6 linked regions of the Rattus norvegicus genome follow. The protein of the gene in region 5 interacts with the protein of the main gene of each other region in a pairwise test. Links are inferred from orthologs where the notes say so. Each region holds a gene or a part of one and is shown on either strand. Other genes may lie near its edges.

Region 1 (4,096 bases), on a different chromosome or scaffold from region 5:
AGACATTACTTGGAGAAAAAGATAAATGAAGGATATAAACTGAAAAGATATAACTACTACTGATTGCTTTCTGCCTATAATAAAAATTTGGTTTTGAAGTAACAAGAAGTCTAGAGAAGTAGGTGTCAGATTATAAAGGACCTCGTGTATCATGTTGAGGGTATATGAAAGGCATATTGGGTAATGTGAAGGTTTCTGAGCAGAAGAGGTGATTAAAATGGGTCCTGAAATGCAGGGATGTAATCCCAGAACTCAGAAGCCTGAGGCAGGAGAATTGCCAGGAGTTTTGAAGCCACTCCTGACATACATTGTTACAGCTGAGAAGCTGAACCACCAACTGACTGACTATACCTAGTTTTTAACATCTACTGTCCCAATCATCGATCATGTATGTCTACGCTTTCTGTTTTTTGTTTTTGTTTTTTTTTTTTTACTTGGGGATCAGGGTGGGAGTTGAGACAGAGTTTGTCTGTGTAGCCCTGGCAGTCCTGGAACTCGCTCTGTAGACTGGCTGGCCTCCAACTCAAAGATCTGCCTGCCTCCCCAGTGTTCAGACTAAAGTCATTTGCTACCACACCTGACTGCTTGCTCTTTTTCTTAGCTCGCATTTTTTCTTTTCTTTTTCTTTCTTTTTTCTTTTTTTAGAGAGAGAGACAGGACTTTTCTACCTAGTCCTGCTGGGGTCTTGAGCTCTCTGTAGGCCAGGCTTGGCTTGAACTCACAAAAAGCCACCCGCCTCTCGTTCCCGAGTGCCGGGATTAAAGGCAAGCACCACCACACCCGCCAATCCATTACTCAAACTACTTGCTCATAGAGACGCTGAGATTACAGGGATAAAAATTTAAACTTGCTCAGCCCTCAAGGAACTCAGTACAGTCCGGTCACAGCAACTGTGCTGTCAGCAAAATCCAGAGATCCGAGTCGAAGCGACCCCCCTCCAGGGAACCAGTTAGGTCTTCAAATCTATTTTCTTCCGCAGTAGGTGACACTTATCTTCCATCCCTCCCCTCCAGCCAGGGAGCCGGCCCACCGTTCCCCTGGGCCCACCGGGGTGAGACTTCCAGGTCCAGCAGCCTGATCCAGGAGCACAAGGAAGCGAGCGCCGCCCCGCGGGTGGGCGGGCAGTCTGCGGCAAGCAGCCAGCGCCGCTCGGCGGCGGGGCGGAGCCGCGCTGGGCTCGGCCCAGAGCCGGGAGGGCCGAGGCCACCGGAAGAGTCGCGGTCGCCAGCCGAGCGCTGTGAGTGGGGAGCGGAAGCGGTGGCGGGCGGCGCTGGGACCCGGGAGCGGCCGGAGAACAAGGGAGCTGGCGCCCCGGCCGGCGGCTGAGCGGGGCTAAGCAGCGGGCCTCGCCGAGCGCCGAGCTCTGTCGGAGAGGCCCGGCCCCGCTGCCCAAGCAGGCCGCACGCCGCGGGGCCGAGGCCGGAGCCATGGGCGAGACTAAGATCATCTACCACTTGGACGGCCAGGAGACGCCGTACCTAGTGAAGCTGCCCCTGCCCGCCGAGCGCGTCACCTTGGCGGACTTTAAGGGCGTTTTGCAGCGGCCCAGCTATAAGTTCTTCTTCAAGTCTATGGACGACGATTTTGGGTGAGGATGGCCCCCGCCCCGCCTCCCGGGAGCTCGGGTCGCTCCGCTGCTAGGGGCCAACGCGGCCAGTTCCGACTCCCCTCGCTGCACTGGTTTCTAACCCCGCTTCCAGCAAGGAGCGACTCGGTGACTTGGGACCCTCTTGACTTTGAGGGACTCCCAGTCATCTCTTGGAGGCCTTGCCTCCCCCACCCCACCCCCCAGCCCAGCGGGACGTCCCTCCCTAAGCAATTGGTTCCTATCATTTAAGCCCCTTCACCTCCCCACGGTCCAGCGGCCCGCCGTAGACATACATCCTTTCCACTCCAAAACCAGAGTTCTCAGTCCTTCCAGGTGCCACCTTTTAAGCATAGAGTTGGAGTTAAACTGACACTCGGTCTGCCTTCCCAGTCCTCTGAGCTCTGCAACTCAGATCCTTATTTGGAGTGTGCTCTATCTAGGGCTGTAGCTGGTGGGACTTGGAACTGGAGAAGGAGGAATTGGGGGCTGTTCTGCCAGGCTGGATGCTGGACCTGATGTTTGTCGAGTAGATTCTCCTCTCTCCTGGGCTGATGGGGTGTTGCCTGGCCCGGAGAAGGAGTTTTCACTAATCAGGTGCTGGGGCCTTTTCTTTCCTGATGGTGTTCCCAGGGGAGATGCTACATAGAGCTTCAGAGCCTGGATGGGAAAGCCTGGAAGGGCCTGTTGGTGTTCTCTTGTCTTCCCCTTCCTACCCAGCTGCAGGGCTTTTGATGGGCAATTTGGAAGATGGGACTGCCCCTTTAAGAGAGGTTGGAATGTTGGAGCCTGAGGGTTCTGTAGCAGCTGGCCTGAGAGGGGACACACACACACACACACACACACACACACACACCTATCCAAGGGGCTGAGGCTTGCCTGCATTAACTGGACAGCGGACTTATAGGCTATGGAGCAAACACACACACACACACACACACACACACACACATACACACACACACACACCCTACCCCACCCCTCTCTGGGCCCTCCAAGGCCTGAAGGTCCCTCTGATGCACTTGCCTGAGGCTTGCACTCTGCTTGCAGCTGAGGCCCCAGAGCTGGGTGAGGGGAGATATTCTCTCTAGTGTACATTAGTCTGGCTTCCCTCCTAAGCCCTGCCCTCCAAGCCCCAGGAGGCAAGCACCTTCTGTCTCCTTCTGGGCTATTTGTCATTTTCTGCCCTGGAACTCGACATTTGATGAGCTCTTAAAAGTGTGTGTGTGTGTGCATGTGTGTGTGAGTGTGTGTGTGTGTGAGTGTGTGTGTGTGTGTGTGTGAGTGTGTGTGTGTGTGTGAGTGTGGACAGTGGAGAATTGATCTGACTATTGCTAAATCTGTTCTTGCCCTGGGATGAGACTCTTGTGTGTGGTGATGATTGTCTGGCTGTAGTTTAGAGTAGGAAGACCTGGTTGAAAGACCCTGAAAATGATGTATCTGGAAGAACTGAGGATAGGAGGTGAGTGTCTCAACCTGGCATGAGAGGAATAAGAAGAGGGTCTTTCTTATTATTCGAAGGAGCTGGGATAATATTTCAGGATATGCTAGGCCAGATGTCTTGAGGGATTAGAATAGTCTTGTATCTCCACCCCCACTTGCCTCTGCCTCCCAAGCAGACCACTCTGAGCTGCTTCCTGCTTTCCTGAGGTTGTCGTGGGAGCAGACCTAACTACAATTATAAGAGGGCTCCCATTGCATCTGCTCACTGTTGGGAAATATTTTTCTTTAAATCAACTATTGAACTAAGCAACATTTATCATGTGCCACTTTGAAGCATTTTGTATTTACCTGTGGTCCCTTTGCAAAATATTCATTGTCTGTTCTATCAGGGTTGAGAACAATGCTAAGAATGAAGTGGGTGTGATTATTTGGCTTCTTCCTCCCAAACTCCAAGAATAAATGAGCAAAAGACCCAGCAAGGCTATCCTTTTCAAGTTAGGACAGCAGAGGATCCTGTTGACAGTTTATTTCATTTTTTATTTTACAAGTGCATCATATGATACAGTCTGCCTGATAGTGATATATTATTACTTGTACATCTTGCATCTTTGAGTCCTCATACCAGCCTATGAAATAGGCACTAATTTCCCACTTTGAAAATTAGGCTAGAATGTTAAAGGCCTAAATAAAGCTGACCCTAGATCACACAGCTAGTAAATGACAGAATTTGTTTGGATATGGGGGACTCTCACTCCAAAATCTAAAGTCTGGGTCACACATTGTAGATGTGTGTGTGTGTGTGTGTGTGTGTGTGTGTGTGTGTGTGTGTGTGTGCGCGCATGAGTGTGTGAGTGTTTATGTGTGTGTATGGGTGTCAGAGAGTGTGCATGAGTGTGTGTATATGTGTGTGTGAGTGAGTGTTGTGTGTATGGGTGTCAGAGAGTGTGTGTGTGTGTGTGTGTCACAGTAGTGAGGAATACTGTGCAAATGGCCATAGATTATAGACTTTTCTCTCCAGAGAATAGCAAGCCTTGGCAAACTGGGGACATAACATGCACCTCAGCCAGC
Region 2 (4,162 bases), on a different chromosome or scaffold from region 5:
GAGGATGAAAGTAGGGGATGAGAGGGAGATAAAAGCACTGACGCAGAAGGGTCTCAACTATGTTCGTTCCCCTGCCTCCAGGGAAAAGGAAAAATGCGAACTTATTGGCTCTTAGGAGAGCGAAAAGGACCTCCTGGACTCCTGTAAATCCCAAGCAGACAATTTCTTGCTGTTGGTACTTGGATGGGCAATGGTCACTGTGTCTCCACTTGACAGAAACAGACGTCATATGAGATGGAAAATATGCATATACACAATCCCCCTGCCTTATCTGGAAGTCATATAAGCCCTCTGCCGCTCAGCCTTGTACATATGCCTGCCCCTCCCTATCTTGGTCCTCTTCCTGCCTTCTGTAAATACCTGTATCTAGACCAGAATATTTTGTCCAAGTATAAAACAACAACAACAAATCATGGTGTCATTGTCTGGGGTCCAGGCCATTCCAAGAGAAGAATACTGAGTGTGGGCACACTTACTCACAGAATCAATGAATTAACAGCTGCAGGATGAGAGTGCTTTATGTAAAACCTACATCAAGGACAGAGAATCAACTCCATCCAAAGTACGTCTGTAGTATAAATAGAAATGGATTCCAAATCCCATGTCTGCTTCCCACCTCAATACTTAGAATGGAGTTGTTCTCTTCCTTCTATCCCCCTGCCCTCCCTGACAGGCAAGGGAAGACATTACCCCCATTTGGTGGGGGCTGTTCTCCAGTTCGTAAGGCAAAGGCTGCCCCAGCGACAAGGATGCTGGTGTTGAGAAGCTGTAGTTCTTCCGGAATGGAGTGTCCAGTGTCCTGATGCTATTGACACCCTGGAGGAGTGCCAGGATCAGGAAAGGTGCCACCCTTCCCCAAGCCAGATTAGAGCCTCTCCTGCACCCCAGTACCTAGTGACCCCCACACACCCGTAGCTGTGCTGCGTGCTGTATCCAGAAGGTTTCAGGCTGTTCCTGGCGGTAATCATGAGGCTGTGAGGGAAGAGATACTGAGTAACTCCTGCCCCTTGGCGCTCTCTAAACATCTGGGCTTGCTGCTTTCCCACTCCTGGGCAGAGCCGAGCTATGCAAGCAGGGCAGGCTGGGTTCTCACCTTTGTTGGGGCAGGAGGCCCTGTTCCTACCAGCTCCACTCTGTAGTCATGGTGTGTTACCGACTCGGTCTCAGAGAGTTTCCTTGTAGGCTCCTGCTCTCTCTGCACCTCTTTACTATGTAGCCATGGGAGAGGTCAAGACCCTTTTCCCAGTTTCTCTCCTCCCCTTCCCCCTTCCCTGGTTCTCACCAGATCTGGTGTTGCAGGAGTATCTCCAGCATGGCTTCACGCTTCCCTGCGGGAGGACAGAAGAGAATCTAGTCAAGTACTAGCTCTAGAAATGAGTTGAGGAAAGAAGGGGAATCTTGGGGTTTGCCCTTATAGCCACCAAACAATCCACGCTCCCACCAGAAAAGTCCTATCTCCTTTTCTGCCTCCTGGGCTCTTTCTGGTCCCCCGTTTCTCATGCTTCACACCTCGAAGTGGATAACAGGTGTGTCTTGGGAGCTGGTATGAGTCTTTCTGGGTGGTGCTAGAAGGCATGGGCAACTGAGGTTGCAAGGTCAGCAGACCCTGGTGTCCGTGTCGGAAGAAATAACTCTCTGAGCCGTCTTGCAATGGTGGGATTTGATCCAGCTGGTTGGTGGCTCTCTGTGGACCCCATGTTAAGTAACTGTGAGTTCCCTTTCTCACACTGACCCTCATCACAAACTACTGGCTTCCCTAGGAAGAGAGAACAGACCAAACCTTCCTACCTCTTCCTGCCAGTTGTAGAGGAGACACTGGCCACGTGGCTGTGCTTTGCAGAGAATTTTCTCATATTCAACCTCTGGACGTTTACGTGGCCCTCTTACTCCAGGTTCCCTGACTTGTACAGGTTCCCAGGTGTGTTGCGGCTTCCAGTGTATGTTCTGACCCCAATTAGGGAACAGATCTATTGGGATGCATTTGAATCCTTGAGGAATGTAGGTCCTGAGCTTAGTTCCAGGTACAGGCTCAGCAGGCTCAGGTCTAGGAGGAAGACCGGGTCCAGGGGCAAGAGCAGTTCCAGAGGAAGAAGAATCGGGTCCAGAGACAGAAGCAGGTCCAGAGACAAGACTAGGTCCAGAGACAGGAACAGGCCCAGAGGTGGGACCCGAGCCCTGGCTAGGCTCAGAGCTAACACCAAAACAAGGGCCAGAGCCAGAGACAGAGCTATGAACAGAGCTATGGCAAGGATAAGAAGTGGCAGGATCAGGGTTTGAGCTGAGGTCTGCGGTATTACAGGGATCCCGAGGAATATAAGAAACATAGAGGGGCTGAAAGCCAAACCTCCCATGGCCCCTCGGATGGGGTGCGGGGCAGGTTGCTTCATAAAGACTGTCAGAGGAGGGATCTGTAAACACACAATACGGCGAAGGAACTCCTCGACATACTGCAGATGATGGGGCAGCTCCGGTCTGTACGGTAGGCTTAGGACTGCTACCCGAAGAAGGAATGGGTTCTGAAGTGGACTCTAGTCCTTCAGAGCTGGGCTGTATATCAAAAGATCTGAAAAAAAACAAAAACCCCGAATTCATCAAGGTTGTCAAAACTGCTGCAAAGTTAGTCCGTTGACCTCCCTTGTTCTCTTTGGCTCTTACCGTGTCAAAGATCCCTCTGTGGAGTCGGTGGTCTCCATTTTCAGACTCCGCCTACCGGGTTGCCATAGAGACGGCAAACAACTTGTTGAGACTGCGCACTAGAGCTGGGCGGACCTGGGGGTGGCCAGTAGGAGAAATAAACAAATACTTTCCACCGGCGGAAGTTTTAGACTTGGTGCTCTCCAATAGTCCCGGCTCCAATCTGCCTCACCTGGGCTTTTAACGTTCCACTAATCTGACCCCTCCCTCGCCTCCATGCCCATCTTGATTAGTTCTAAGGTGACTAGGGGATGCACTGGAGAAAAGCCCAGGATTGCATCAATATGAACTCCGGTTTGGTTCATTCCCTAAGTTGAAAGAGCAGTGTGTATTTTTTTTTTTATTTTAAACAGTTTAAGGATGAAAATATATGAAATAGGAGATGAGAATGCTGCTGTCTTCGGTAGGAGTGCTTGCTTAGCATGCCCAAGGTCCTGGATTCGATCCTTAGCACACATAGAGAGGCAGATAACAGCGAAATGGAAGGGAATATGGTACAATAGACGTGTCTCTGTCTAGTCATCCAGGCAAATTTCTACTGCTATTTTTTTTCCTAGTCGTTTGACCCAGAATGGACCATTAGACACTAGCAGATCTGCGCCATATACTCCTTTAACCACTGACTGGGTCTTACGATCTTTTATTCTGACTATGGTCAAGAGAGCTCATAGGCCCGAATCAATTTTCTTTCACCTTTTTGACATAGATTTGTTACATATTGAAGACAGGGATGCAAAATCGGAGGGGGAAATACGTTTATTAACATCACAGGATCCCTTTTCCGGTTCTCCATCCAAGCATCCAGGCCCGCGGTCCCAGGGCAGCTGGCAGGTTTAACCAGGTGGCCACTGCAGTTGCCGGCCTCCGAGTACGTGAATGTGCAGGTGGTACACAGATTGTGCGCCCATCTTCCCATCGTTAACCACTGAAACAGAGCTTGAGGTTAGGGACCAGGGTCACGGGAGGGCTGGAAACAAAAGAAAGATCACCATCGAGTTATAGGGATTCATGGTCAAAAGCCACTCACCAAGTCGATACCCATCTTTCAGACCCTCCGCCTGTGCTATCTTCTTGGCCACGAGGAGTAAGTGTCCTAGAAGCTAAGGGGAGAGGGCAGAGGCAGAGGTAGCTCTCCCCATAGGAGTCAAACCACTAGCTTCATCCACTGCTCCACCCAGACAAGCCACTGACCCTGTTCGCCTCACCTGTTGGTCGTCTTCTTCAGCCTGGCTAATTCGAGGAATGGGCTTTCTAGGAATGACCAGGAAGTGCACAGGAGCCTGAGGGGCTACATCTCGGAACACTAGGCACTGGGAGCGGTGACAGGTGAGAGATCAGTGTTACTTCCTCAGGCCATCAGGTGCCACTGCACCTGTGACATTCTTAAGAGGGCTGGGCCCTAAGGGGACCCCCACCTGCTGATCTTCATATAGAATGTCAGCTGGGAGGCTCCGGTCCAAAATCCGGG
Region 3 (3,500 bases), on a different chromosome or scaffold from region 5:
TGTTAAACTGGGTGCTCAAAACATCCATCAAATTATGTGTTTATACTATTCAGCAGAAATAAGCTGCAGAAGTTAAGGCAGACAGCTGGAGTTTCCAATTGAGCTTTCTCTTCATGGATGAACTTCCTGTGGTTGAACTTTGTGCTGCTTTCACTTATATCATGGGGTAAACAATAGTAACACATTATGATTTTTCTTCTAGCTGTTCCTAAGAACATGATGTGTGCTGGCTAGTTTTATGTCAACTTTACATAGGCTAAAGTGATTTTGGAAGATGGGATTGCATTTGAGGAAATGCCCCACTTTGGATCTGCCTGTGGGCAACCCTGTGATACAGGTTTTTTTTTTTTTTTTTTGTTTTTCTTTTTTTTTGATTGATGATGATGTATGTGGGTCCAGCTCACTGTAGGTGATGCCATCCTTAGGCTGGTAGTCCTGGATGCTATAACAAAACAGACTGAACAAGTCATGGGGAGCAAGCCAGTAAGTACTCCTCTGTAGTTTCTGCATCAGTGCTGGACTGTGATGTGAAACTGTAAGCTCAAATGAACCCTTCCTCTCCAAGTTGCTTTTGGTTATGGTGGTGTATCATAGCAATAGGATCCTAAGACATATTTTCATTCTTTATTTCTTTTGCTGTTCCCTTTCTTACTTATCACAGTTAAGTTACCATTCCATTCCCAGACAAGGGGTCTTAGAAGACACAATGTAAACAGACGTGGCTCTGAAGTGGGGAAGCAACCCCAGTTCCTGAGCCAGCCGCTCAGTAAGCTCAAACAACACATGACAGTTTACCAATGTAATACACCTTACCTTTCTGCAACAGTACCTGGCTTTTTACATAGGTTCTGGGAATTGAATTTGAGTTCTCATGCTTGTAAGGCAAGCCTTTTACCAACTGCTAAGCTCCTAAAATTTAGTTTTAATGCTGTAATGTTAAAGGTCTTTTGTTGAAAGTTGATAAAATCTCCATTTTTTAAAAGAAAAACTTTATGGGAAATACCATTTTGTTTTCTAGGATGATTGCAGAGTTGTCTTGGCAAAACAAGAAATCACAAGATTATTAGAAACACTGCAGAAACAGCAGCAGCAGTTTACAGAAGTTGCAGATCATATTCAGTTGGATGCCAGTATTCCAGTCACTTTTACAAAGGTGATGTGCTGTCCTTTGTTTTTACTTATGCTTTCTGCAAATTGTGAGTAGCAGAAAATCGAAATCAACTTAAAGAGAACACTAGGAAATTCATGAGTTGTAGAATTTAAAGAAAAGCTGCAATCAGTGGGGAATAGAAACAAACGAGACTAAGTCTCTGACCTTATTTCCTGGTTTAATTGGAATTGTACCCAAAGCATATTTATTTTATATTTCTTTTTTTTTTTTTTTTTTTTTTTGGTTCTTTTTTTCGGAGCTGGGGACCGAACCCAGGGCCTTGTGCTTCCTAGGCAAGCGCTCTACCACTGAGCTAAATCCCCAACCCCTTATTTTATATTTCTAATACATTATTGGTACTATCAAGTATTCAGCTAATAATTCAAAATTTCTCAAATTTTTTCCAAAGTAAAAATATATTGAGACTATCACTTAGCCTTGGATTTTCTGTAACCTGAGCCTCCTTTCTCTGCCTCCCAATTGCTGGTGTTATTGATTAGAAGCCACCATGCCTGGCTTCTAATCAAATTCCTAATTGTTTTTGTTTTGAGAGAGGCTCCAAAGAAGGCTGATAATGTGTTTGAAGTATTATACCTTTTTATAATGGGTTCTAGTGATTTAAAAACATTCATGAACTCTATTTTATTTCCTATTTTTAGGAAACAATTAAACAATTAAAACAGGAACACCCTAATAGAAGAAAGGGTAGGGAGGATGGGAATAAGGGGTTTCCATAAACCGGGAAAGGGTTTTATATTTGAGATTCAAATATAAAAATATCCAATAAAAAAGAATAATAAAAATAAAGAGGCTATAAATGAGAGTTGGGGGTAGCTTGGAGGGTCTGGATGAAATAAAAGAGATGAACGTGATATAATTTTATTTCAATTAGAAACACATTAAAGTGAAAAAAAATGTTTACATAGTTGAAAGCCCAATTTGCAGTGCAGAATTCATTCAGGTACACCTCTGTCTCTGATTTCTGATGCTTTTCACTCTGTTCACTATAAAAAACAAGACCATTTAGAGTTTTTCTTAGCTCATCTTCTTTCAAAAGCTAGAGACAAATGTTCCTGTTTTACATACTTTCTCCATTTTTTTTTTTTTTTTTTGAGCTGGGGACTGAACCCAGGGCCTTGCGTTTGCTATGCAAGCGCTCTACCACTGAGCTAAATCCCCAACCCTACTTTTTCCATTTTTAAAGGTGGACTGCCTTTTACTAAAGTGCACATCTTTTTTTTTTTTTTTTTTCTTTTTCTTTTTTTCGGAGCTGGGGACCGAACCCAGGGCCTTGCGCTTCCTAGGCAAGCGCTCTACCACTGAGCTAAATCCCCAGCCCCCGGATTTTAGATTCTTTTAAAAGATATGCGTAGGGGTGTATGTCTGTGCACTACATGTGTGGAGTGCACATGTAGGGTAGAAGGTAGTGTTGAAGTTACAGGGAGTTGTGAACTGCCATATGTGTGCAGGAAATTTAACCCAGGTCCTCTGGAAGAGTAGCAAGCCATTTTAAAAGATGAACCATTTTTCTCCACCTCCTGTATCTTCAAGCCCCCATTTTCAGTTCTTATGGTGATATACTCCAAAAATGAAATTAGTGGATCCTGTAGTAAAGTTTTTGAATTAAAAGATCTTAATTTTGATTTTGTTTTGACAAAGGGTCATATGTAGCTGATGCTGGCCTCAGACATACTATATAGCTAAGGATAACATTGAGCTAATGGTCCTTACAACTCAACATCCAATGGCATTCCAGGCATGTGTCAGCACCCCAGGTTTATGTAGTGCTGGGCATGAACCCATACAAATAATCCATGCAAGGCAGGCATTTAGCCACAAGCTCTATCTGTAGCCTTGTTTTTATGTTAGTAGGAATTTTTGTGATATTTCACATATTGTTAACATATCAAAATCTTACTGTTGTTTTTCTACATTTTGGGTTCGTAGCCATCTTACTGTGTATGAGATTTTATCTTATTGGGGTGGGGTTTTGCATTTCTTTGTTTCTTTGTTTCTTTTCATATGCTTTTTGTCCATTTGTCATGAGCAGTTTTATCAGAGCTTGGTTCACTTTTTAATTGGGTTGAATTTTTGTTGTTTAACAGTTCTTTATGTATCCTGGGTATTTATCAATCCTATATCTGCTTTTGATTTCTAGATATTTTGTTACATTTGGTAAATTTCTTTTTTACTTATGATTATGACCTGTTATGCACAAAGGTTTTTCTTTTTTTTTTTAATCTTTATTAACTTGAGTATTTCTTATTTACATTTTGATTGTTATTCCCTTCCCAGTTTCTGGGCCAACGTCCCCCTAGTCCCTCCCCCTCCCCGTCTAAATGGGTTTCCC
Region 4 (3,500 bases), on a different chromosome or scaffold from region 5:
CTCCCTCCCCGGACCACCACTGCTCCAGTAGCACAGAAGTGCTTGGTCAGAGGATAGTGACCGTAGGCCAAGTCGTAGATGTCTGTCGTAGTGTCAGAGACCTGGCTTTGGCTCCTAAATTGAGATTTTGGTTACTCTTACAGTCCTCTGAGAAGAAATGGTGGCGAAGTCAGTAGCGGGAATTCAGTGGCACAGTTTGAGCCCATGCTCCTTTGTGGAGAGTTTTTTGCCCCTTCTTTTCAACCCAAGGAATAGGGTACTCACATTCTTTGGTTTGCAGTGCTTGGCTAGACTGCTGGGTAAAGGCCCTTTCTTAGGCCTCCCTCCCATGACCCTCTGACAGGGTCTGTCTGCTTTCTTCCTCAGGCGGTGTGTGCCATCTTTGAGAAGTCTGTTAAGACACTGCTGGATGACTTTGCCCCCATGGTGCCACAGCTCTGTGAGATGCTGGGTCGGATGTACAGCACCGTTCCCCAGGCCTCTGCTCTTGACCTCACTCGACAGGTAAGCCATCTGCTTTGGGCAGTAGGTGCTGTGGATGTCATCTTGTTAGAGACCTGTCCCTGGGTGGGAGTGTGTCAGGTGGCTGCATGGCTGGGGTCCCCACCTGTGTTCAGGGATGTTGATCCATCCTGGTGAAGGGACCTCAGCTCACCAGCCTCCCCTGCTTTGTTGTAGTTGGTCCACATCTTTGCCCACGAGCCTGCCCACTTTCCCCCAATAGAGGCCCTCTTCCTGCTGGTGACCTCCGTCACACTCTCTCTCTTCCAACAAGGTAAGTGCCCAGCAGGGTCTCTCTACCACCACTGCCTCTGCTTCCCCCACTGGGGAGCCAAAGCTACCCCACTCTGTTCTCGATACCCTGGTCACAGGTGGGACTTGATGGGAAACCTGGGGGACGAAGCACAGTGCAATCGTTACCTACAAGTAGCTGACACTTCAGGGTGAAGTGGATAAAACGGCAAGTGGTATCTTACAGCCTGCCTGCGTTCCAGGCCAGCCTGGATACCCCGGAAGCTGGGCTCAGACTCTGAGTGACTTGGGGCACTAGTCTGGCTCATTGCCATTGGGATATTATAAGAAGTTGGAGGAGCATGGGCTTTGAAACCAGGTAGACTTAAGAGTCTAAGGAATAACCACCAAACTAGTTGTGTGACCTTGGGCAAGTCACATCCCTTCACTGAGCCTTGTTTCCATGTTAGCTCAGGGACTCCGGTTCCTTGGGTCCTGGCTTGGACTTTTGCATATGAAGTGCTCAAGTGCTGATTCCTCTTTTTGTGTTAAAGTTTAGTCTTTTCTGAGCCCAAAGTGCTTTCAGGGGTAGTCCCAGGCCCTCTTTCTGTGGCCTTCTGCCTAAGAAAGTTGGAAACTGGCCTTCAGGCTTCCTGTCTAACCTGGGTTTTAACCAGGCACAGAAGCAAGGCTACTCTGTCAGCCCCATGAGCCTAGTCTGGATTTGAGCTTTGAGGCCAAGCAGTGTCTGCTGGAGCCCAGAGTGCTTGTATCACACACATATGGTTAGTGTCTGGTCCCTTGTGGGCCACAGAGCAGATCCAGACTGTCCTCCACTCCACCTCTCTACTCCTTGTGCCCCCTTTCTGAATGAGTCCCAGTGATCTTGGGTCTGTTCATCCCTCAGTGGGTCCACTCCTCCTCCCCCTCTATGAGCCCTTTCTCAGTTTAGGCTCTGCCTCACTTAACACCATAAACTCCTCCATTCACAAGCACCCCTCTCTCCAACCCATCCAGCATCCAGCATACTGTACTTCATAAAACACTAATATGATCATTTTTCCTCTCTGGCCTAAAACCCTTTCAGATACTCCTCATCGCCCTCTGGTTATTGTCACATTCCCACAGGACCAAGCTCTGGTGAATCTCTGAGGTTCTCTCCTGACGGGAGCAATTCGGCCACTCTGACTCTCACTCATTACCATGCCCTATTTGAACTCTGCGCACTGCTCCTCCAAATGGAAAGCGTATGCCCCTGACTGGAGTTGATGCCCTAGACAGAAGGCAGGCATTACTCCTCAGACAGGTGACTCTGAGATAGAACTGGGCACTTGCAGCTATTTGTGAAAACCCCACCATACTTACACTGCTGATATAGAGCACAGGCCACGGAATTAATAATCTCCATGTCTGTCACTTCATGGACTGAACCCTCTAGGTCAGGGTCACATCTTCTCTACCACAGTTCTCCACTATATTCCTTGTGTCCAGAAGGAGGCCACTCTCAGACACTGGCGAATCAGGGAGGGCTCCCTGCCCCAGAACCTTTCTTCCACACTATCTGGCCCAAGCAGGAAGGGAACCGTACACTGACCACACTGTTCTAATGGCACATCAGACCTTTCTAAGACCTAAGCAGCGTAGATTTCAGAGATAGAGGATCCGCCTCAGGTCGGGGTTTCTAGTAGCCTGGTGAAGAAGACAAAGGAGAGGTTATGTGTCACAGATGGGGAGACAGAGCACCCGTGGCTTACACAAGATCACACAGCTACTCAGTGGTCTCAGGCAGATGCCTTTCTGCTGCATCCTACTGAGAGCGAAGAAGCCCAGGCAGGAGCAGCAGGTGCATGCCTTACTCTTCTTACTCCAGGAATAGTCAAAGCTGAGGCAGGGATGGCCAACATTGTTATTTGTCAGAGTCGTTGGTTGTCTTGTTGGGTAGGAGAGTCCCCATACCTGTTTTGCTATTCCAGTTTCAGTCTTTCTCAAGCCTTTGTCTTCCCGCTGGGTCATGCATGGGGCAACACAATGACTGTTTTCCCCTTATGGTGTGTCAGATCCTGGGAGCTGTTCTCAGCCCTGAGTTTGGCTGTCTCCCAAGTCTATGCCATGTGGAGGGACTTTGCTGGGATGGGGCTCTCTCACGCCTTATGATGCAGTTTATTCCCCTGGCCCTACCGATGGCTGGGCAGCCTTGTACACCCAGAGGCCTGCCCTGTCCAAGTAAGAGCACTTCAGTTTAAGCAAACAGAACTCTCATGGTGCTCACTGCATATTGGCATCAACCTACAATCTTAGCCAGACCAAGAGCCCTAAAGCCATCAAACTGAAAGGGACACTTAATCAAGATCTCATGCCCTGGACTTTTAGGGCTTTCAGCCAAGCCTCAAAATGAAGTGCCATGGACCAACCTACACCAGCTGTGCCCTCCACTTAGATGGCTGTGATAGGGAAGTATATACCAAGAGGCAGTGCAGGGCCGCCCCAGCCAGTCAGTCACAGCAAGAGTGTGGAGACTGATCCCTAACCCTGTGGAATCTAGAATCGTTTGAGCACCAAGAGATCACTACGGGGACTGGCTTGAGGTGGAACGGGGAGTAGGTGGCAGGCCCTGAGGGAGCTGGGGCAGGCCCGTCCTTCACTTTGCCGTCTCTTTCTGTTGGGCTTCTCCCAGTTCATGGTTTTTGTATGTTTTGTTTCTTTATCTTGCTTCCTGCTGCTCATGTGCCCCATGCTGCCTCCCGCAGGCTCTCAGTCCCACATAACTA
Region 5 (3,659 bases):
CCAGAAGTTGAGATCGAGAAGTGAGAAGTGAGCCCTGGGTGGACACACTTTCTCTCAGAGTCGCATGCCCCTGGCTGGAAGCTAGAGAGTAATTGGGGCGCTAGGAGAACAGGCAGAGGCTAGTCCAGCTAGACTGTGGAACATCCGGTGCCGGAGCTGGGCTCCAAGGAGGATGAGGGGATGAGGCCATGGGAGAACAGGGAGCTCCAGTCCTAAACGGTGCTCAGAGAGTGCACCCCTACGATCTAGGTCATAGGTGTTCTCAACACCCTAGGAATCTGAGGATCAAGCAGGCCCAGCTCGGAGAGTTGGGTTCCTAAGGAGGAGAGGAATCTCCACCAGATTGCCTGTCACTGCAAGAAGGGGCAGGTCAAGAATAGTGTTGGGGAACCCCTGCCACAGGTCTTCCCTCTACCACCCCCAGGGTCAGGGAGACTCCGTTCTCAGTGCGGCGCGCTGGCCTCCCTTTTCAGTTGAATGAAGCAGCCAGGGCTCAGTGGTGCTTAGCACGCTCCGACTATGGTTTTAATAGACGTACATGGACAAGTCGATATAGACAGATTTATAATTCTATACAGTCAGTCCGACATACACAGGGACGCTGTAAACGGGCGCGGGCCAGAGAGCGGGTGTGCAAAGTGGGCGGGGGCCCTGGGGCTGTGGCCCCGCGCTCTCCTGGCTCGACTCTTGCACGGGTGAGCAGTGAGGAAGGGGCTGTTCACTGGGCCACCTCCTGGACCCGTAGTGGAGCAGAGGGCCGGGCTGGCGGCTAAGCTGGGGCTGGGGAACTCAGAGCTGAGCCCTTCCCCTCCTGCTGCGGACTGGCCACGGCCAGCTGCGGCTCAGTGGCCTGAAGTGTGCGGCTCCAGAGCTCAGGGCTGCTGGGCTCTTCTGGCATCCCGAGGCCTTAGGCTAATCCGGCACACCGGATCCCCATCAGCGCTGTCATCCCCAGCCAGGCTCAAGCTCCAACAGTGATCCGCGCTGCATGCACTCGGACGGCCCAGGCTAGGAGAGGGTGCCTCGGGTTTTTGATCGGGTGAACGATCCCAGGGCCTCCAGGCTCCCTACATTCAGTTCACGGGTTGAGGCGCTCCGGCAGGGACGAACGGCGTCTTCTCCGAGCCACTTTGGCGCTGGCTTCCCCCACGCCACATCCCCTTGGTGTAGTGGACAGTTGGGGGTCGAGGGTTCGAACGCACCACCTGCGCCATCGCCAGGGACATTGCAACTCACCCCCACCCCCAGCATTTTTCTCCGATGTCCTTTTTTTAAAATTTTTTTATTTTTTTTGCTTTCTCTCCCCCACCCCCTCCCTTGGCTTGATTTTTTTCCCTTTTTTATTCATTGGGGGCAGAGCGGGGTCCGGAAAAGCAAACACAAAACCAACCTGGAGGCAGGGTGGGGAGGAAGGGGCTGCGCAGAGGTGAGGTCCCAGGTGCTGCGAGCGCCCCGTGTGCTCCGCGCGCTCCCGCTGCGCCTTGCCGGCCGGCGGCCCCGGGGACCCGGCGGGGCGGTCAGCTGTTATACTGGCAGGCGTTGAGGCCCGACGCTGGACCCTGCAGACCGCCGTAGCCAAACGAGGAGTGCTGCTTGGACTTGAGCCGCAGGCTGGCGAGGCTCGAGTTGCACGTGTCCCGGTAGACGCTGTAGGGCGAGGCGGGGGTGCCGTAGGGGCAGGCGCCCGGCGACATGGCCGAGTTGAGCGAGGAGCCCGTGAGGTTGTTGATGTTGTTGAGGCCCGAGTTGGGCATGCCGGGCACGGAGCCCGGGCCCATGCTGGATGGCATGGTCATGGAAGAGATGGAGCTGGGGGCCGAGAACATGGACTGAGAGGATAGCGGACTCATGGAGTTGAAGAAGGTAAAGCTCTTGGTGGACAGCGGCGCCGGTGCCAAGCTCTTGGCGGCCCAGTTGTTGTAGGAGTAGCCGGCGGCGGCGTACACGTCCTCGTAGGGCTGCACCAAGCCGCTGAACTGCGGCACGTAGCCGCCCTTGCACAGGTCCAACTGCTGGTTCCGCTCCCTCTTGCGCCACTTGGCTCGCCGGTTCTTGAACCAGACCTGGGGAAGCCAGCGGGAGAAACGTCAGGGCCACGGTGGTGGCCGGGAAGGACCCTCATCCCCGACCTGAGACTCTGTAGCCCCCTCTCCTAACATCCCGCCTTTTCTTCAGCCTCTGCCGAGTTTTTCCGTAATGGTTCCCTTCCCGTCTCCAGAAAATAGGAGCCCTCTCCCTTTTCCCCAGCTTTTTAAAAATTCTCTTCCCCGAGTTAAATTTATTTTCTTTTCTGACTCAGATTCTCTTTTGTTTGAACAAATATTCGTTTTCTTCCCCTCCCTCAACCTGTCTTCTTTCTGTCATCTCCTTCCAAATGGGGCACCACTACCCTCTTCTTAATAGTTCAATCCGATTTTTTCTCTCTCAAACACAAAAAGTATTTTTCTTCCCCGAAACTGACCGTCTCCGACTTTTCAGACGAGTTTCGTTGTTCAAATATTTTATTTTCATCCGTATTTATAATATTTAATAGTTTTCCTCCTGCCCAAAATGTAAAATTTTGTTCACTTCTTGACTATCTAAACTCGTTTGTTTTTCCTTTATTTCTTGTCCCCGTTTTATTCTTTTCTAAATATTTAATTTATCCCTTCTTTCCAGATCTCTGACCCCCACTGTTTCCCTTAAATAGTTGATCCTTTCTTTTTCTAAACGCTCAACCTCTTTGCTTCCCTTAAATATTTAATTTCTTTCCTGCTGCTTAAATATATCCCAAATACGTTTCTCTGCAAATATTTAATTTCCGTAAGTTTACTAGTTTCTCTCTAGCCTCCACCTCTGTTTTCTCCTACAAAATTTGTTAAGGGCCACTTTTCTCTCCCGACCACGTCCTCCCCAGCTTCCCTGATCTTCCCACCGTTGGCCCCCTGACCTCCTAGCTCGATCTTCAGCCCAGAACCCCTAGACCCCAGCCTTTCCCAGGCCCTGATTCTGTCTACTCAACCCCACACCATCCCTACCCCCATAAACCTCGGCAGGATTAGTGAGCTCAGAATTACAGGGTGAGGGTCTGCGCCCAGGGTCCCACTGGGTCAGACCAACCTCACCGGGGAGGGCTGAAGGTTGGGCTTGTGGCAGGGGCTCTGTGCATCAGGTGGGACTTTGGTCTGGCCCGAGGAGTGCTCCCAGTGTCTGATTAAATATTTGCCCACCCAGGGAAGAAACGATTTCCTTCCTACGCCTGTAGGAACGTGTAGCATTTGCTGGAAACTGGGGGAGGTGCCAGAATACAGTACGGCCTTGGGTCTGGGACCTTACGTCTGAAAAGTGTAGTGGGAGGGCCACTCGCTACCAGTGTCCCTGCTCCACATGACCCCCAGACCTACAGTGGGAAGGGGCATTGGGCAAAGGTCCAGCTAGTACCTGGCTGACTGTCCAGGAAAGATGGCGAGTATTCCAAAAACAGATTGGAGAAGGTAAACTCAGAATGAGATCACAGCTCCAAGAAGTTTGAGATACCCCACTCAAACACCTTTTCGGGCCTCTCTGGGGCACTCAGGCACGAACTGCCTTTCCCTTTCATTTTCCAGGGGTTGAAGGCTTAGAGCTCCCGAGGTCCTTAGCGGCAGAGAATCCTCTGCCCAATCTCTGGCTCTGAGTAA
Region 6 (4,268 bases), on a different chromosome or scaffold from region 5:
AGGGGGTGCGCCAGGTGGGTTCTGAGTGGTTACTGGAACCGGAGCAGACCTCCAGTTCCCGGAAGCCAGCGAGGCACGCCTTTGGTCCCCATTGCTGTTCTCTTCCACATTCAAGTTATTAATCTGTATCATTAGAGAGAAGAAAATTTCAGGGTCACTATTAATCCTGGCACCCCCAGTAGCTATCCTAGGAAGTCCCTAGGAATCCTCACCTATACCTCACTAGCCATTAGCCACTTGGTTCCTCACTGTCTTTCAGGAAAGCATTTCATCTCCAAACCAGAGAAAGAAAAACACAAAGTGGAGCCCGGGGTTTCTCCCTTTCCTGTGCACTGCTTGGTTTCACCCTGAACTCATTTCTCCCTGACTGTGGTCTCTCTTGCTTGTGAGGTGGATCTTCAAAATCTAATGATAATTCTGGGTGAGCCTGCCTAGCTTAAGACATGGTGTTTACTGTCAAATGTAAGACGGTCTGCACACATACTGCCTGTGTCCTTGTATCAACTCATCATTAATCTGTGGACAACCGGGGGTCAGGAATAAATATTTATTTCAGCTCCCCCTACAACTTTGCCAAAATAGAGATATATATGTGCCCTTTATTTTGTTTGGAGCAAAGGAAATTCAAAGAAAGGAGAGACCTCAAAGCAAAGGGAAGCCAGCAGGGATCTCACCTTGCGGGTCCTCTTGCCCCGAATTATAGTCCGGGACTCCACATTCTGAGCCTGGGAGCCATCTGCTGAGGTCTGGGCTGCTGCACCGTCAGTTTCAGAGATACCTGCACTGGTCCCTACGTCAGCCATTTTGGCCTGGTTTACATTCTGGGTCTGGGCATCAGCTCCAGGGATCTTAGTGGTGTCATTCCAAGCCTTAGCTGTCTTAGGCTGGTTGTTGGTCATCTCATTGGCACTGGGAGACTGAGTGAAATTGTAGGTGGCACTGGGGCCAGCCTTAGTAGTGGTATTCTGACCCTTAAAGGCCATTTCAGACTTTTTAGCTGCTGATTTGCCTGTGGATGCTGCATGGGAAAAATCAGAGGCAGCATGTGGACCTTTAGAGGTGGCATTCTGTGACTTAAAGGCCACCTTAGGCTGATTCTTGGGCATCTCCTTGGCATTACGTGCCTGAGAGTAATCATTTGGCCCCTTTGTGGTGGTATTCTGGGCCTTAAAGCCTGTCTTAGGCCTGGCAGCAGCTGCTGAAACCTCAGTATCAGCCTTCTCATTGGCAGTTGGGGGCTGTGAACTCTGGGGACTAGCATTCGGCCCACTGGCAGCTGCTGTGGCCTGGCTGGTGGGCGGAGCCTCGGAGATCTGGATGGCTTCCATCAAGGTCTGCACAAGCAAGGCGCTGTCTTCTACAGAGGCCTCTGCCTGCAAATACAGGAGGGGGAAATTTTAATCTCTGGGCCTTACAAGCCAGACCTGAAGGAGGGGCACGGCGCAACGCAGCAGGGGAACTGTAGACAGGCGTTACAGTACTCAGACATGGGGGCAGAGGCGGGTCAAAGGGAGGCGGGGCGGGAACAAAATTTAATTAAAGGTAGAGGGGGCAGGGCAAGGTGAGGGACAGTCGGAGGCAGCAGGGGCTGGTGCGGAATGTGGTGCAAGCACTGAACCCCGAATGGGTTTAGAGACAGACTCGTGAGGCTTGCCGTGGGGAGCTCAAGACCTGAGGACGGAGGAATTGAGGAGGATAAACAGAGGAGGGTGGAGGGGGAGTCTCGCGGCGTGGAGAAAGGGAGGGTGGAGGCGAGAGGTTGGGGGATGGGGCGACAGACTGCTCTACACGCGTCAGGGTTATGGAAAAAAAATGGTTCCTTACCCAACCCGCATTCTCTGGGCAGAATGCCCTGACTAACAGGGTCTCCCCTTTCTCTAAGCAGGGACCGATGGCTGAAAAGGGCCGCCCCTCCCCCCTATTCGATAAACGCTAGAAATTTGAGAGCCCGCGGAGTCTAGGCCGGAAGAAGGGCAAAATCAGATCCTGCCATTTGCGCGACCTGAGGGGCCAGGGGTGGGCGTAATCTGTCAGCAAGGAAAATGGAGGAATTGGGAGCGGGGTTCTCACCTGGAAGCCGCGGAGGCCTGCACCGCCGTCCGGTTTCTGAGCCATAGCTCTTGTCTCTCTGGCAAGAGCAGAGCCTGAGGGGGGTGTGGGAGAGGAACTAGGCATTATACTACAGAAGGAAAATACGTAGGACCGAATTGTGTGTGCGCGTGTGGTTTGATTATGGGGGCGGGTGAGGTGCTGGGTACGGGGAGAAACAGGCCTAACTGAAGCGGGAAAAGTAAATGGTCGTCCCGATAGACAATCTAAAATTTCCAGAAGCTGACAGGTAAAAGCTTCAAATCCGCGGTTTGGAATCAGATAAGCGCTCTGAATGCGGTAGTTTACAGGGGCGGGGGGGGGGGCGGTTAGCGGGGAGAGGTTCGCGTCTGTAAAGTTGAATTAAGGCTTTGAATCTAGAGGAATCGTATAACGGATCAAGGTCGGGAAATAGGATTCAGTGAAGGAATTGGATAAAGATTCAGGGAATGAACGGGAGTTCGAATTAGAAAGGGTCGGGAGCGAGGTGTAAGTCCGGGGTAAGGCAGAGGAGGGGGTTTCTGAATTCAGGGAAAGGGGATTGGGATAAAAGAATGGGGGAAGGGCGCCACACCAGGGGGGCAGATGCCCAGTCCGGGGGCGGGTCTCACCTTGCCTCAGGCCCCAACCCCAACCCCCTTCGTTGCTTCCTTCTTCACGACTCAGAGGATCGGGACTGCTCTGCTCCGCTCTCTGCACCCGCACTCTCTCCTTGTCCAGGAGAAAATGCCAGCGCGGCAGCTCGGGCGACCCCGCCTCTTCGCCTAATATACCACCCACCGCCTCAGGAAGCCCCGCGCATGCGCAACAGATCACTGTCCAAATAAGAGTCCCGCTTGCTTTCCCAACAAAAGCTTCATCCTGGAGACCTTGTCGCGCATGTGCACTTGGAGGAGATCCCGCCTCTTTGCCAGCACACTATCCCACCGCCAACCAGGTTGACAGTGTACAAAGGTTCCTCCTCCCCTTCTCCTTACGCATCCACTCCTTCAACAGATGCGCAGCGCCTTTTGGTCCCACCCCCTTGCCCAACACACCAGCCCCCTACCTTTATCCGCAATGCGTCTCTTCTCAGTCCCGCCCTTTTTCCCGAACTCTCTCTAGCCAGGTCCGCAACTACCTCCCACCCACTTGCTTAGAGCCTCTTAGGTAGGCCTCTGCGGGGGGTCTCTTATTTCGACACAAACTAGGCCTCTGCTGAGTTCACGCACTTTGCAATGCAGAAACCTTAAAGGCAGGGGCAAAAAAAAAAAAAAAAACAAAAACAAAACGTGACAGAGCTACCAGGGCAAGGGTCAGCCTGGGGATTCTATAGGTTTCCTCTCACGAGACTCAGAAAATTAGCGTTTCTCTCGCCCTTTTTGCAGTTTTTGCCAAAGAAATATTTCGTGAGGGGTGGGTCCGAGAGGTGAGGGAAGGGCGTAGGGCAGTGGGCTCTGTCCTGGAGCTTGGTTTTCTCACAGGCAGCCTCAGGAGATGGATGGAGGTCAACATTCTCATTTAACACGTCAGGTAGCTAAAACGTAAACCCGCTGTATGGACCAGGGCATTGAGCTAGTAACAAACAGAAAAGACAATATTTGCTTAAACACACTGGTAATCCCAGCACTCCGGAGACCGAGTTCTAGGCCAGCTTTGCAACTCTGAGACTTTATCTAAAAGACAAACAAACATCCATGTGGGGCCTGGATGATCCTGACTGAAAATCTGCTCTGAGAATAGAGGCATTCCTTAATCCTCTATTGGAATAACAAGCTTTCCTCTCCCCAATATTTGTTCCAAGGGAATGAGGCTTGTGTTCTAGGAGGCCTGGTGTATGTGGGAACCCTTCAGGTTCACTCTGTGCTCCTCTTGGCAGGCAGTCTCCAGGAGTGAGACGGCGGGCTTTTTTGGTGCCTGCTGGAGCAGCCAGGGTAGTCAGGTGTGTCTGCCCTGTTCTTGCGGAATGAAGCTGGGCTTGGCTTTAGAATTCCAAGATGAGTGTCTGGCCTATCTGTCTCTGGCTGTGTGAGCCCCTGAGACATGGTCACTTTAGTGGACCTCTCTGAGCCTAATTTACTCACTACACAAAATAGGAATCCCAGGAAGAGAGTCGTGTCCAAGGACACACAGTCTGCTGTGCCAACATGGCTGGAGAAACAAACGCAGAAAAATGGCATACAGATGTGGTGACTCAAACC

The links.
Region 1: the proteins of Pitx1 (region 5) and Dvl3 interact in binary tests that used the Homo sapiens proteins (3 or more experiments, as listed by UniProt). The two-hybrid records come from large-scale screens. The link is inferred for Rattus norvegicus from reciprocal best matches to the Homo sapiens genes PITX1 and DVL3.
Region 2: the proteins of Pitx1 (region 5) and Spag8 interact in binary tests that used the Homo sapiens proteins (3 or more experiments, as listed by UniProt). The link is inferred for Rattus norvegicus from reciprocal best matches to the Homo sapiens genes PITX1 and SPAG8.
Region 3: the proteins of Pitx1 (region 5) and Trim23 interact in binary tests that used the Homo sapiens proteins (3 or more experiments, as listed by UniProt). The link is inferred for Rattus norvegicus from reciprocal best matches to the Homo sapiens genes PITX1 and TRIM23.
Region 4: the proteins of Pitx1 (region 5) and Ipo13 interact in binary tests that used the Homo sapiens proteins (3 or more experiments, as listed by UniProt). The link is inferred for Rattus norvegicus from reciprocal best matches to the Homo sapiens genes PITX1 and IPO13.
Region 6: the proteins of Pitx1 (region 5) and Maged1 interact in binary tests that used the Homo sapiens proteins (3 or more experiments, as listed by UniProt). The link is inferred for Rattus norvegicus from reciprocal best matches to the Homo sapiens genes PITX1 and MAGED1.

Annotation. Positions count from the first base shown.
Region 1 is NC_086029.1:93,884,104-93,888,199, reverse strand, and holds the start of Dvl3 (segment polarity protein dishevelled homolog DVL-3), read left to right. Parts: upstream 1-1,296; 5' UTR 1,297-1,427; coding exon 1,428-1,588; intron 1,589-4,096. UniProt on the Homo sapiens protein: Involved in the signal transduction pathway mediated by multiple Wnt genes.
Region 2 is NC_086023.1:62,696,951-62,701,112, forward strand, and holds Spag8 (sperm-associated antigen 8), read right to left. Parts: upstream 2,715-4,162; 5' UTR 2,694-2,714; coding exon 2,656-2,693; intron 2,564-2,655; coding exon 1,789-2,563; intron 1,685-1,788; coding exon 1,510-1,684; intron 1,329-1,509; coding exon 1,283-1,328; intron 1,209-1,282; coding exon 1,094-1,208; intron 973-1,093; coding exon 910-972; intron 817-909; coding exon 625-816; 3' UTR 501-624; downstream 1-500. Other genes in the region: Npr2 (atrial natriuretic peptide receptor 2 precursor), read left to right, coding at 82-147; adenosine 5'-monophosphoramidase HINT2, read right to left, coding at 3,528-3,619, 3,722-3,794, 3,900-4,004, 4,110-4,162. UniProt on the Homo sapiens protein: Microtubule inner protein (MIP) part of the dynein-decorated doublet microtubules (DMTs) in cilia axoneme, which is required for motile cilia beating.
Region 3 is NC_086020.1:37,053,205-37,056,704, forward strand, and holds part of Trim23 (E3 ubiquitin-protein ligase TRIM23), read left to right. Parts: intron 1-1,018; coding exon 1,019-1,153; intron 1,154-3,500.
Region 4 is NC_086023.1:136,722,479-136,725,978, reverse strand, and holds part of Ipo13 (importin-13), read left to right. Parts: intron 1-366; coding exon 367-504; intron 505-678; coding exon 679-775; intron 776-3,500. UniProt on the Homo sapiens protein: Functions in nuclear protein import as nuclear transport receptor. Serves as receptor for nuclear localization signals (NLS) in cargo substrates.
Region 5 is NC_086035.1:8,802,319-8,805,977, reverse strand, and holds the end of Pitx1 (pituitary homeobox 1), read right to left. Parts: intron 2,064-3,659; coding exon 1,518-2,063; 3' UTR 501-1,517; downstream 1-500. UniProt on the Homo sapiens protein: Sequence-specific transcription factor that binds gene promoters and activates their transcription. May play a role in the development of anterior structures, and in particular, the brain and facies and in specifying the identity or structure of hindlimb.
Region 6 is NC_086039.1:63,420,186-63,424,453, forward strand, and holds the start of Maged1 (melanoma-associated antigen D1), read right to left. Parts: upstream 2,801-4,268; 5' UTR 2,700-2,800; intron 2,145-2,699; 5' UTR 2,116-2,144; coding exon 2,071-2,115; intron 1,374-2,070; coding exon 675-1,373; intron 124-674; coding exon 1-123. UniProt on the Homo sapiens protein: Involved in the apoptotic response after nerve growth factor (NGF) binding in neuronal cells. Inhibits cell cycle progression, and facilitates NGFR-mediated apoptosis. May act as a regulator of the function of DLX family members.